Saccharomyces cerevisiae S288C: one gene and its partner. Each later gene encodes a partner of the first gene's protein in a complex. Each region holds a gene or a part of one and is shown in the gene's direction. Other genes may lie near its edges.

Region 1 (5,045 bases):
CCCGGCATTCATATATGTACATACATTTATGCACATATATATATATATATATATGTATATGTAAATGTATATATACAGCTTGTGATTTCGCGCGCCGAATGGGCTGAAAAGCACAGTATAGTGGAGAAGAAGAGAGAGGAGAAGGGGAGAGGGGCAATAGCAATGGATGTGGTAGAATACAGGGAAGGCCAAGCTGTTGTTCAATGGATGCGGTTCGAGGCCCAGCGCAAGGGGGGCGCTTCGAAGCATAGAACATTATCCGCGGAAACGGGTATTAGGGGTGAGGGTGAATAAGGAAAGTCAGGGAAATCGGGCCAGAGTAACACCCATTCATAGCACTCGTACAAGGTGCTTTTAACTTGCCTGCATGTGTGGAGTCACAAATTAGGGGACTCAGGCACAGAAGCAAGGGTCCTTTTTTGGTTCCCTGTTTCCTCCTGCGCATTTCGTATTTTTTCTCATCTCTTGGCTCTGGATCCGTTATCTGTTCTGTTACACAAGAAATCGTACATTTACAATATAGTGATAATCGTGGACTAGAGCAAGATTTCAAATAAGTAACAGCAGCAAAATGGCAAGACAAAAGATGTTTTATAACAAATTACTCGGCATGCTCAGCGTAGGATTCGGGTTTGCTTGGGCGCTCGAGAACATTACTATATACGAATTTGACTTTGGCAAGGGCATTCTCGATCAAAGCTACGGCGGTGTATTTTCAAACAACGGCCCTTCGCAAGTGCAGCTGCGGGATGCAGTCTTGATGAATGGGACAGTGGTATACGATTCAAACGGCGCTTGGGACAGTAGTGCGCTGGAGGAATGGCTCCAGGGACAGAAAAAAGTTTCCATCGAAAAAATATTTGAAAATATTGGGCCCAGCGCCGTGTATCCGTCTATTTCGCCTGGGGTCGTGATTGCGTCACCATCGCAAACGCATCCAGACTACTTCTACCAATGGATAAGGGACAGCGCGTTGACGATAAACAGTATTGTCTCTCATTCTGCGGGCCCGGCAATAGAGACGTTATTGCAGTACCTGAACGTTTCATTCCACTTGCAAAGAAGCAACAACACATTGGGCGCTGGCATTGGTTACACTAACGATACAGTGGCTTTGGGAGACCCTAAGTGGAACGTCGACAACACGGCTTTCACGGAAGATTGGGGTCGTCCTCAAAACGATGGGCCTGCTCTTCGAAGCATTGCCATCTTAAAAATCATCGACTACATCAAGCAATCTGGCACTGATCTGGGGGCCAAGTACCCATTCCAGTCCACCGCAGATATCTTTGATGATATTGTACGTTGGGACCTGAGGTTCATTATTGACCACTGGAATTCTTCCGGATTTGATCTATGGGAGGAAGTCAATGGCATGCATTTCTTTACTTTACTGGTACAACTGTCTGCAGTGGACAAGTCGCTGTCGTATTTTAACGCCTCAGAACGGTCGTCTCCCTTTGTTGAAGAATTGCGTCAGACACGCCGGGACATCTCCAAGTTTTTAGTGGACCCTGCGAATGGGTTTATCAACGGCAAGTACAATTATATTGTTGGGACACCCATGATTGCCGACACATTGAGATCCGGACTGGACATATCCACTTTATTAGCTGCGAACACCGTCCACGATGCGCCATCTGCTTCCCATCTTCCGTTCGATATCAATGACCCTGCCGTCCTGAACACGTTGCACCATTTGATGTTGCACATGCGTTCGATATACCCCATCAACGATAGCTCCAAAAATGCAACGGGTATTGCCCTGGGCCGGTATCCTGAGGACGTATATGATGGATATGGCTTTGGCGAGGGAAATCCCTGGGTCCTGGCCACGTGTACCGCTTCAACAACGCTTTATCAGCTCATTTACAGACACATCTCTGAGCAGCATGACTTGGTTGTCCCAATGAACAACGATTGTTCGAACGCATTTTGGAGCGAGCTGGTATTCTCCAACCTCACGACTTTGGGAAATGACGAAGGCTATTTGATTTTGGAGTTCAATACACCTGCCTTCAATCAAACCATACAAAAAATCTTCCAACTAGCTGATTCATTCTTGGTCAAGCTGAAAGCTCACGTGGGAACAGACGGGGAACTAAGTGAACAATTTAACAAATACACAGGGTTTATGCAGGGTGCCCAACACCTTACCTGGTCCTATACTTCATTCTGGGATGCCTATCAAATAAGACAAGAAGTTTTACAGAGTTTGTAGACAAAAAAAAAAATAAAAGGAAAGCGAGAAGTATACACAAGTGTATTTCCTAGATATTTACATCAAATATATATATATACTTATTTACAAAACTCTGATATTATAAATTGATTAGATACTATGTCGGAACGTCCAGCCCAACCACGTTTGCAGTTCTTTTCACTTTCTCATCCTGTGTCAACTTGTTGCCAGGATTGTATCTGTCGACCAGCTCCTCGTATTCTCTTTGGTTGTCCAAGAACTTGATGATGTCCAAAGCGTGTTCGAATATCTCGTCAACGTTTTGTCCCTGGGCCACCTTTTTCTCCCACTTTATATCGTTTTGTAATATGGAACGTAATGACTTAGAGTCGGCTATAAACAAATTCAAAGATCTGTCGCTTACCGGATCTAGTTTTTTCCATTTCTCTAACTGTCTGTTGATGTTCTCATGCGAGTCTCTCTGATTTTGTTTCTTAGCATATTCCAACTTTGTTATCATTGCCTTTCGTAGATTGCCCCAATTGACTATCTTGCTTGGCCTTTCATATTTCAGAATGGCTCTTATGAGTCCTCTATATGTGCGTAATGTTCTTGGTCTATCCATTTCCCTGGCACTCTCTCTTTCTCTCTCTTTTCAGCTTTTTGTTATCCACTTATCGCTGCAAATGAAACTCTAGTGCAATTTGAGATATTCACTTTTTGCAAAGGCGAAGAGAAGGGGGTGGTTAAATCTACAATTTCATACATAAAACAGAGAAAATGATTATAAATTATAGGAAAGTAGGTAAGCCATGGCAGAGAAATCAATATTTAATGAGCCTGATGTGGATTTCCATTTGAAATTAAATCAACAATTATTTCATATTCCTTATGAACTACTGTCCAAACGTATCAAGCATACTCAAGCGGTAATTAATAAGGAAACCAAATCACTACATGAACACACGGCCGCATTAAATCAAATATTTGAACATAATGACGTTGAGCACGACGAGTTGGCACTAGCAAAAATAACTGAAATGATTAGGAAAGTTGACCATATAGAAAGATTTTTAAATACGCAAATCAAGTCCTACTGTCAGATTTTGAACAGAATTAAAAAAAGGCTGGAGTTTTTCCACGAACTGAAGGACATCAAGTCACAAAATTCAGGAACATCGCACAATGGAAATAATGAGGGTACCAGGACTAAATTGATACAGTGGTATCAGAGTTATACAAACATTTTAATTGGTGATTATCTGACGAGGAATAACCCGATTAAATACAACTCGGAGACAAAGGATCATTGGAACTCTGGCGTAGTGTTTTTGAAACAGAGCCAACTGGATGATCTCATTGATTATGATGTCCTCTTGGAGGCTAATAGAATTTCGACTTCGTTACTACATGAGCGTAATCTCTTACCCCTAATTTCATGGATAAACGAGAACAAAAAGACACTGACCAAAAAGTCCTCTATATTAGAGTTTCAAGCAAGATTGCAAGAATATATTGAACTACTAAAGGTGGATAACTATACCGACGCTATAGTATGTTTTCAAAGATTCCTTTTACCATTCGTTAAGAGCAACTTCACCGATTTAAAATTAGCATCTGGACTTCTGATTTTTATCAAATACTGTAATGATCAAAAGCCAACTTCTTCTACCAGCTCTGGATTCGATACTGAAGAGATTAAGTCTCAAAGTTTACCAATGAAGAAAGATCGAATATTTCAACATTTTTTTCACAAATCTTTACCTAGAATTACCTCCAAACCTGCGGTGAATACAACAGACTATGACAAGAGTTCCTTAATAAATTTACAAAGTGGAGATTTCGAAAGATATCTGAATTTATTAGATGATCAAAGATGGTCGGTATTAAATGATTTATTCTTGAGCGACTTTTATTCCATGTATGGCATATCACAAAATGACCCTTTATTGATATACCTGTCACTAGGTATATCGTCTTTGAAGACAAGAGATTGCCTGCACCCTTCTGACGATGAAAATGGAAATCAAGAGACGGAAACTGCCACAACAGCAGAGAAAGAAGTTGAAGATTTACAACTCTTTACGCTACATTCACTAAAAAGGAAAAATTGTCCCGTTTGCAGTGAGACTTTCAAACCAATAACACAGGCATTACCATTTGCTCATCACATTCAGTCTCAATTATTTGAAAATCCAATACTATTACCAAATGGAAATGTTTACGACAGTAAAAAATTGAAGAAATTGGCCAAAACATTGAAAAAGCAAAACTTAATTTCTTTAAATCCAGGTCAAATTATGGATCCAGTTGACATGAAAATATTTTGCGAATCAGATTCTATCAAAATGTACCCAACCTGAAATAGTTTCAAGCTATATGCATTTTTTTATATAAAGATTTGTCCAACTTTCACAACTATTTTACAGATACTTACGCTATATAAGAATTAGGGAAAATGAAAGTTCTTTCATCAACATGGCGACATTCTTCCTTCTGTACTTAGTCTGAATCAGAATCTGTGTCTTTTTTGCTTTTACGGTTATGTTTTGAACTATTCGAGACATATTTACTAAAGATGTAGAACCTAGCATCACGTTCTTTCGCAGGTTTTGTAGTATCTTGTTCGCTATTCGTTCTCCGGTGATGATATCCTGGAAAATTTTCCCATTGGAATTTGCTCGATCTGCTCAGAGTTAGTCCATTTTTTTTGGCTAAAAGTTTGATTTGCCATGAATCATAGGGCTCTCCATCGAAAAGGGACAGTATGATGTTACCATAACCTTCGGCGGTCAATTTTTTAGCCTGGGGAGTATCCTCATTAAGATCATAGCCTTGCGTATAACGAAGAGTATCATTTTGA
Region 2 (5,026 bases), on another chromosome or scaffold:
CGAAAAACCTTCGAAAGGAAACTCATTAACAAGGGAAGAACTAAGAGATGTTATGGCTCGGAGAGTTTTGAAAAGCGAAATAGATTCGCTGCAAGTTTGTGAAGAAACCATCGACAAGAATTACAAGGTTATTCCTGATGAAAAGCTGCTAACTAATATTTTAAAGAGAAAGTTGACAGAGGAAGAAAAAAGCTCTGTCAAACGTCCTTGCGTGAAGAAGTGAGCGGTTGTTCTAACCACTATTTAAAGCCGCAATTAGTAATGCAAAAAGTTGGCCGGAATTAGCCGCGCAAGTTGGTGGGGTCCCTTAATCCGAAAAAGGACGGCTTTAACAAATATAAACTCCGAAAATCCCCACAGTGACAGAATTGGAGAAACAACCAGTTTTGATATCGCCATACATATAAAGAGATGTAGAAAGCATTCTTCACTGTAATGTCCAAATCGTACATTTGAATTTCTTGTAGGTTTATTTAAAAGGTAAGTTAAATAAATATAATAGTACTTACAAATAAATTTGGAACCCTAGAAGATGTCGAAATTGGGACAAGAAAAAAATGAAGTAAATTACTCTGATGTAAGAGAGGATAGAGTTGTGACAAACTCCACTGGTAATCCAATCAATGAACCATTTGTCACCCAACGTATTGGGGAACATGGCCCTTTGCTTTTGCAAGATTATAACTTAATTGATTCTTTGGCTCATTTCAACAGGGAAAATATTCCTCAAAGGAATCCACATGCTCATGGTTCTGGTGCCTTCGGCTATTTTGAAGTAACCGATGACATTACTGATATCTGCGGGTCTGCTATGTTTAGTAAAATTGGGAAAAGAACGAAATGTCTAACAAGATTTTCGACTGTGGGTGGTGATAAAGGTAGTGCCGACACGGTTCGTGATCCAAGGGGGTTTGCCACCAAATTCTACACTGAAGAAGGTAATTTAGATTGGGTCTACAATAATACACCGGTATTCTTTATCAGAGACCCTTCCAAGTTCCCTCACTTTATCCACACACAGAAGAGAAACCCACAAACCAACCTAAGGGATGCTGACATGTTTTGGGATTTCCTCACCACTCCTGAAAATCAGGTGGCCATTCATCAAGTAATGATCCTTTTTTCAGACCGTGGTACCCCTGCCAACTACCGTAGTATGCATGGTTATTCTGGTCATACCTATAAATGGTCCAATAAAAACGGAGATTGGCATTATGTGCAAGTTCATATCAAAACCGATCAAGGAATAAAGAATTTGACCATAGAAGAGGCTACCAAAATTGCGGGATCCAATCCAGATTACTGCCAGCAGGATTTATTTGAGGCTATTCAGAATGGAAACTATCCTTCCTGGACAGTTTATATTCAAACAATGACCGAACGCGATGCCAAAAAATTACCATTTTCAGTCTTTGATTTGACTAAAGTATGGCCTCAGGGGCAATTCCCTTTACGGCGTGTGGGTAAGATTGTTTTGAACGAGAATCCACTGAACTTCTTCGCACAGGTGGAACAAGCTGCCTTCGCCCCCAGTACCACGGTTCCTTACCAAGAAGCAAGCGCTGATCCAGTATTACAGGCCCGTTTGTTTTCATATGCGGATGCTCATAGATACAGGCTAGGTCCTAACTTCCATCAAATACCCGTAAACTGTCCATATGCATCTAAATTTTTCAATCCCGCTATCAGAGATGGACCGATGAATGTTAACGGCAACTTCGGCTCAGAACCTACATATTTGGCCAACGATAAATCGTACACGTATATCCAACAGGACAGACCCATTCAACAACACCAAGAGGTATGGAATGGGCCAGCTATCCCTTATCATTGGGCAACATCCCCAGGTGATGTAGATTTCGTGCAAGCAAGAAATCTCTACCGCGTTTTGGGTAAACAACCTGGACAGCAAAAGAACTTGGCATATAACATCGGCATTCATGTAGAAGGCGCCTGTCCTCAAATACAGCAGCGCGTTTATGATATGTTTGCTCGTGTTGATAAGGGACTATCTGAGGCAATTAAAAAAGTAGCTGAGGCAAAACATGCTTCTGAGCTTTCGAGTAACTCCAAATTTTGAAACGCTCAAGTAACAAATGAGTGGCGTTGTTTCCACGACAATTATTTATGATAGTGTGTATTTTTAACACATTTTATTTATTACAATTTATGTATTTTGTTATGAATTATTTATTTATACGACTAATAGGTGATGCTCATATTCTCGTGTTAGAAAGTTAAAAAAATTATCATTTCACACATAGGAAAGCTCGTCGCGCCGGGGAAAAAGCTGAGGAATCTCTATTATTAGGGGTAAAGTTCAACACATTCAGTATGAGATAAGTGTGTCTTCAAGAGAGATGCAGCACTGAGTAGGGAACCAAGAAACGATGTCTGAATTACTAGATAGCTTTGAGACAGAGTTTGCGAAATTTTATACCGACAGCAATCTGGAAGAGACAAACCTTCAAAAATGTCTTGATCATACTCATGAATTCAAGAGTCAATTAAAGAAGTTGAAAGCGCACTTAAACAAGCATATTCAGGAATCAAAACCAGAAGTCTATAATAAGCTGAGTGATAAGGAGAAACAAAAGTTTAAGAGAAAAAGAGAACTAATTATTGAGAAGCTAAGCAAGTCACAGAGGCAATGGGACCATTCAGTAAAGAAACAAATAAAGTACGTTTCTCAGCAGTCGAATCGCTTCAACAAAAGCACGCTGAACAAATTAAAAGAATTTGATATAGATAGCGTATATGTCAATAAATTACCGAAAGAGACAATGGAAAATGTTAATGAAGCCATCGGTTACCATATTTTGAGGTATAGTATAGACAACATGCCATTAGGAAATAAAAATGAGGCTTTCCAGTATCTAAAAGATGTCTACGGAATTACTAATAAAGAATCTACTGAATTTATTGAGATGGGCCAAATCGTACATGATCTTAAAAAGGGTGACACAGAAAGCTGTCTGAAATGGTGCTCCAATGAAATGGAAAGCTTATCATCTAACCATACGGCTTTATCGTCCCTAAAATTTGATTTATACACTTTGTCAGCAATGCAGATAGTGAAGCATGGAAATCCGGTAGAGTTGTACTACCAAATAACACAGAACGCACCCCTGGATTGCTTTAGACATAGGGAGAAGGAATTAATGCAAAACGTCGTACCATTATTAACTAAATCGCTAATAGGTCAACCTATTGAAGATATTGATTCTAAAGTAAATAAGGAATTAAAAGAATGCACGTCGTTATTTATAAAAGAATATTGTGCTGCAAAACATATTTTCTTTGACTCTCCCTTGTTTTTGATAGTATTGAGTGGTTTAATTTCTTTCCAATTTTTCATCAAATACAAAACCATCAGGGAGTTAGCGCACGTTGACTGGACTACGAAAGATGAGTTGCCATTTGATGTCAAGTTACCAGATTTTCTGACTCATTTCCATCCGATCTTCATCTGTCCCGTCTTAAAGGAGGAAACCACTACAGAAAATCCTCCTTATTCACTGGCATGCCATCACATCATTTCTAAAAAGGCGCTAGACAGATTATCGAAGAACGGAACAATTACTTTCAAGTGCCCATACTGCCCCGTAAATACTTCAATGAGCAGTACAAAAAAGGTTCGTTTTGTTATGCTTTGACTGAAATTTTTGCATAGGTTTTTTTTTTTTTTTTTTATTGGAAGCGATAACAGAACACAGTAGTTTTCTACAGTAAACCACCTTTAGCAACCTGCTCTCGCTGAAAATCTCCATTCATTATCGTTCCTGAGAACGATCCATTTTCTCCAGCCAACCACCCAGGAACTTTATCAATATTTATTAAATTTTTATCGCATAGTTCGTGTAATCCCCCAAAAATATCATTACCATTAAATTTCAATTTTATGGTAATTATTCTACTGTTTATTTCGTTTTTTAAAGTGAATCCAACTTTTTCAATAGGAACTAAGGAACTGTATCTAGAAATGTACACTGGCTCACCAGAATCTTCATTTTTCTTTCCATTCCTAATATTGTGGACATGTTCGTTAAATTCTTTCAAATCATTATATTTCTGATCCATTACGCCGTTTGCTGAACCTTTGAATTTGATCATGTTTTTCTCTAACCTTAGTCGTCTAATTTCAGGTTCTTCTTTTCCGTAAAAATTCTCATCGTCATTTAAGAAAGAATCATCAAATTCTCTAACCATTACCTTTTTACCAGTAAGGCCTTGGTGCTTTTTGTAGTCGTGTAGTGGTGACCGTTCAAAGTTAGCACTAGCATAACATTCCCATGGGCCCATAGACTCCGCAAATCTCGAAGGTCCTAATAAAGTCATTATATTATGTATTGATTTCACGGGTATTTTCTGTACCGGTTTGAAGATGATTGTTTCTCTTTCTGATATCGTTCGACTAATGCTCTGCAAAACTAGTCTAGCATAAATATCCTTGTCAACTGAATGGAAAATTATTGGAGAATTTAGCGGGAATGCAACGTAATATGGTCTCCTTGATATTAATGGTTTCCCTTGGAATTTGTCTAACTTGTTGTAAAGAGACTCTTTATTTATACTCCCTATATTAGGCGTACTCAAAAATAAATTATTGCTGTCAAATAGCTGTATTCTGGTAATTAACACTGGCAAAGAGGGATGTTTAAACATGTAAACATGACAATGGTAAATTTTCGCTAGATCTGTTTGTAAATTTTCTATAAATTTGGCAGGTTGGAGCTTTACTACGTAAGGTTTCCCATCTCCCCGTAAAGCTTTTGATGGAAGCCACTTAAATTTCTCTGGTTTACTTATCATTAAATGGCAATCTATTTCTGCTAATTGGAAAACATTCAGGCCATCCGGCCAGTATACGTATAATATCCTATTTACTATAACATTTCGCCTCACGCCTTTCTCAATCAGTAAGTCTAATGTTTCTGTCAATAAATATATGTCACCATCAAATGACCCACCGAATTTTGCGAACCATGATAGCGTAAGATCATATAATACCGTTACCGGCAGCTTC

The links. Proteins that work in one complex are often made in the same cells at the same time.
Region 2: the proteins of FYV10 (region 1) and RMD5 are in contact, whole or in part, in a cryo-EM structure (PDB 7NS4), measured with the Saccharomyces cerevisiae proteins. Residues at the interface, in NP_012169.1 of Saccharomyces cerevisiae: Phe7 (codon at 3,013), Asn8 (codon at 3,016), Pro10 (codon at 3,022), Val12 (codon at 3,028), Asp13 (codon at 3,031), Phe14 (codon at 3,034), His15 (codon at 3,037), Leu16 (codon at 3,040), Lys17 (codon at 3,043), Leu18 (codon at 3,046), Gln20 (codon at 3,052), Phe23 (codon at 3,061), His24 (codon at 3,064), Tyr27 (codon at 3,073), Leu30 (codon at 3,082), Ile34 (codon at 3,094), Thr37 (codon at 3,103), Gln38 (codon at 3,106), Ile41 (codon at 3,115), Asn42 (codon at 3,118), Thr45 (codon at 3,127), Lys46 (codon at 3,130), Leu48 (codon at 3,136), Leu55 (codon at 3,157), Asn56 (codon at 3,160), Phe59 (codon at 3,169), Glu68 (codon at 3,196), Ala70 (codon at 3,202), Leu71 (codon at 3,205), Ile74 (codon at 3,214); in NP_010541.3 of Saccharomyces cerevisiae: Ser2 (codon at 2,394), Glu3 (codon at 2,397), Leu4 (codon at 2,400), Leu5 (codon at 2,403), Asp6 (codon at 2,406), Phe8 (codon at 2,412), Glu9 (codon at 2,415), Phe12 (codon at 2,424), Phe15 (codon at 2,433), Tyr16 (codon at 2,436), Leu21 (codon at 2,451), Thr24 (codon at 2,460), Leu26 (codon at 2,466), Gln27 (codon at 2,469), Leu30 (codon at 2,478), Thr33 (codon at 2,487), His34 (codon at 2,490), Phe36 (codon at 2,496), Lys37 (codon at 2,499), Leu40 (codon at 2,508), Lys41 (codon at 2,511), Lys44 (codon at 2,520), Leu47 (codon at 2,529), Asn48 (codon at 2,532), Ile51 (codon at 2,541), Arg74 (codon at 2,610), Ile78 (codon at 2,622), Leu81 (codon at 2,631), Trp88 (codon at 2,652), Asp89 (codon at 2,655).

The regions. Positions count from the first base shown.
Region 1 is NC_001141.2:177,433-182,477, forward strand, and holds FYV10 (glucose-induced degradation complex subunit FYV10), read left to right. Parts: upstream 1-2,994; coding exon 2,995-4,545; downstream 4,546-5,045. Other genes in the region: SGA1 (glucan 1,4-alpha-glucosidase), read left to right, coding at 572-2,221; FMC1 (Fmc1p), read right to left, coding at 2,340-2,807; BMT5 (25S rRNA (uracil2634-N3)-methyltransferase), read right to left, coding at 4,685-5,045. UniProt on the Saccharomyces cerevisiae protein: Component of the GID E3 ligase complex recruiting N termini and catalyzing ubiquitination of proteins targeted for degradation.
Region 2 is NC_001136.10:965,187-970,212, reverse strand, and holds RMD5 (ubiquitin-protein ligase RMD5), read left to right. Parts: upstream 1-2,390; coding exon 2,391-3,656; downstream 3,657-5,026. Other genes in the region: RKM4 (ribosomal lysine N-methyltransferase), read left to right, coding at 1-223; CTA1 (catalase A), read left to right, coding at 533-2,080; CHL4 (Chl4p), read right to left, coding at 3,724-5,026. UniProt on the Saccharomyces cerevisiae protein: E3 ubiquitin-protein ligase component of the GID E3 ligase complex recruiting N termini and catalyzing ubiquitination of proteins targeted for degradation.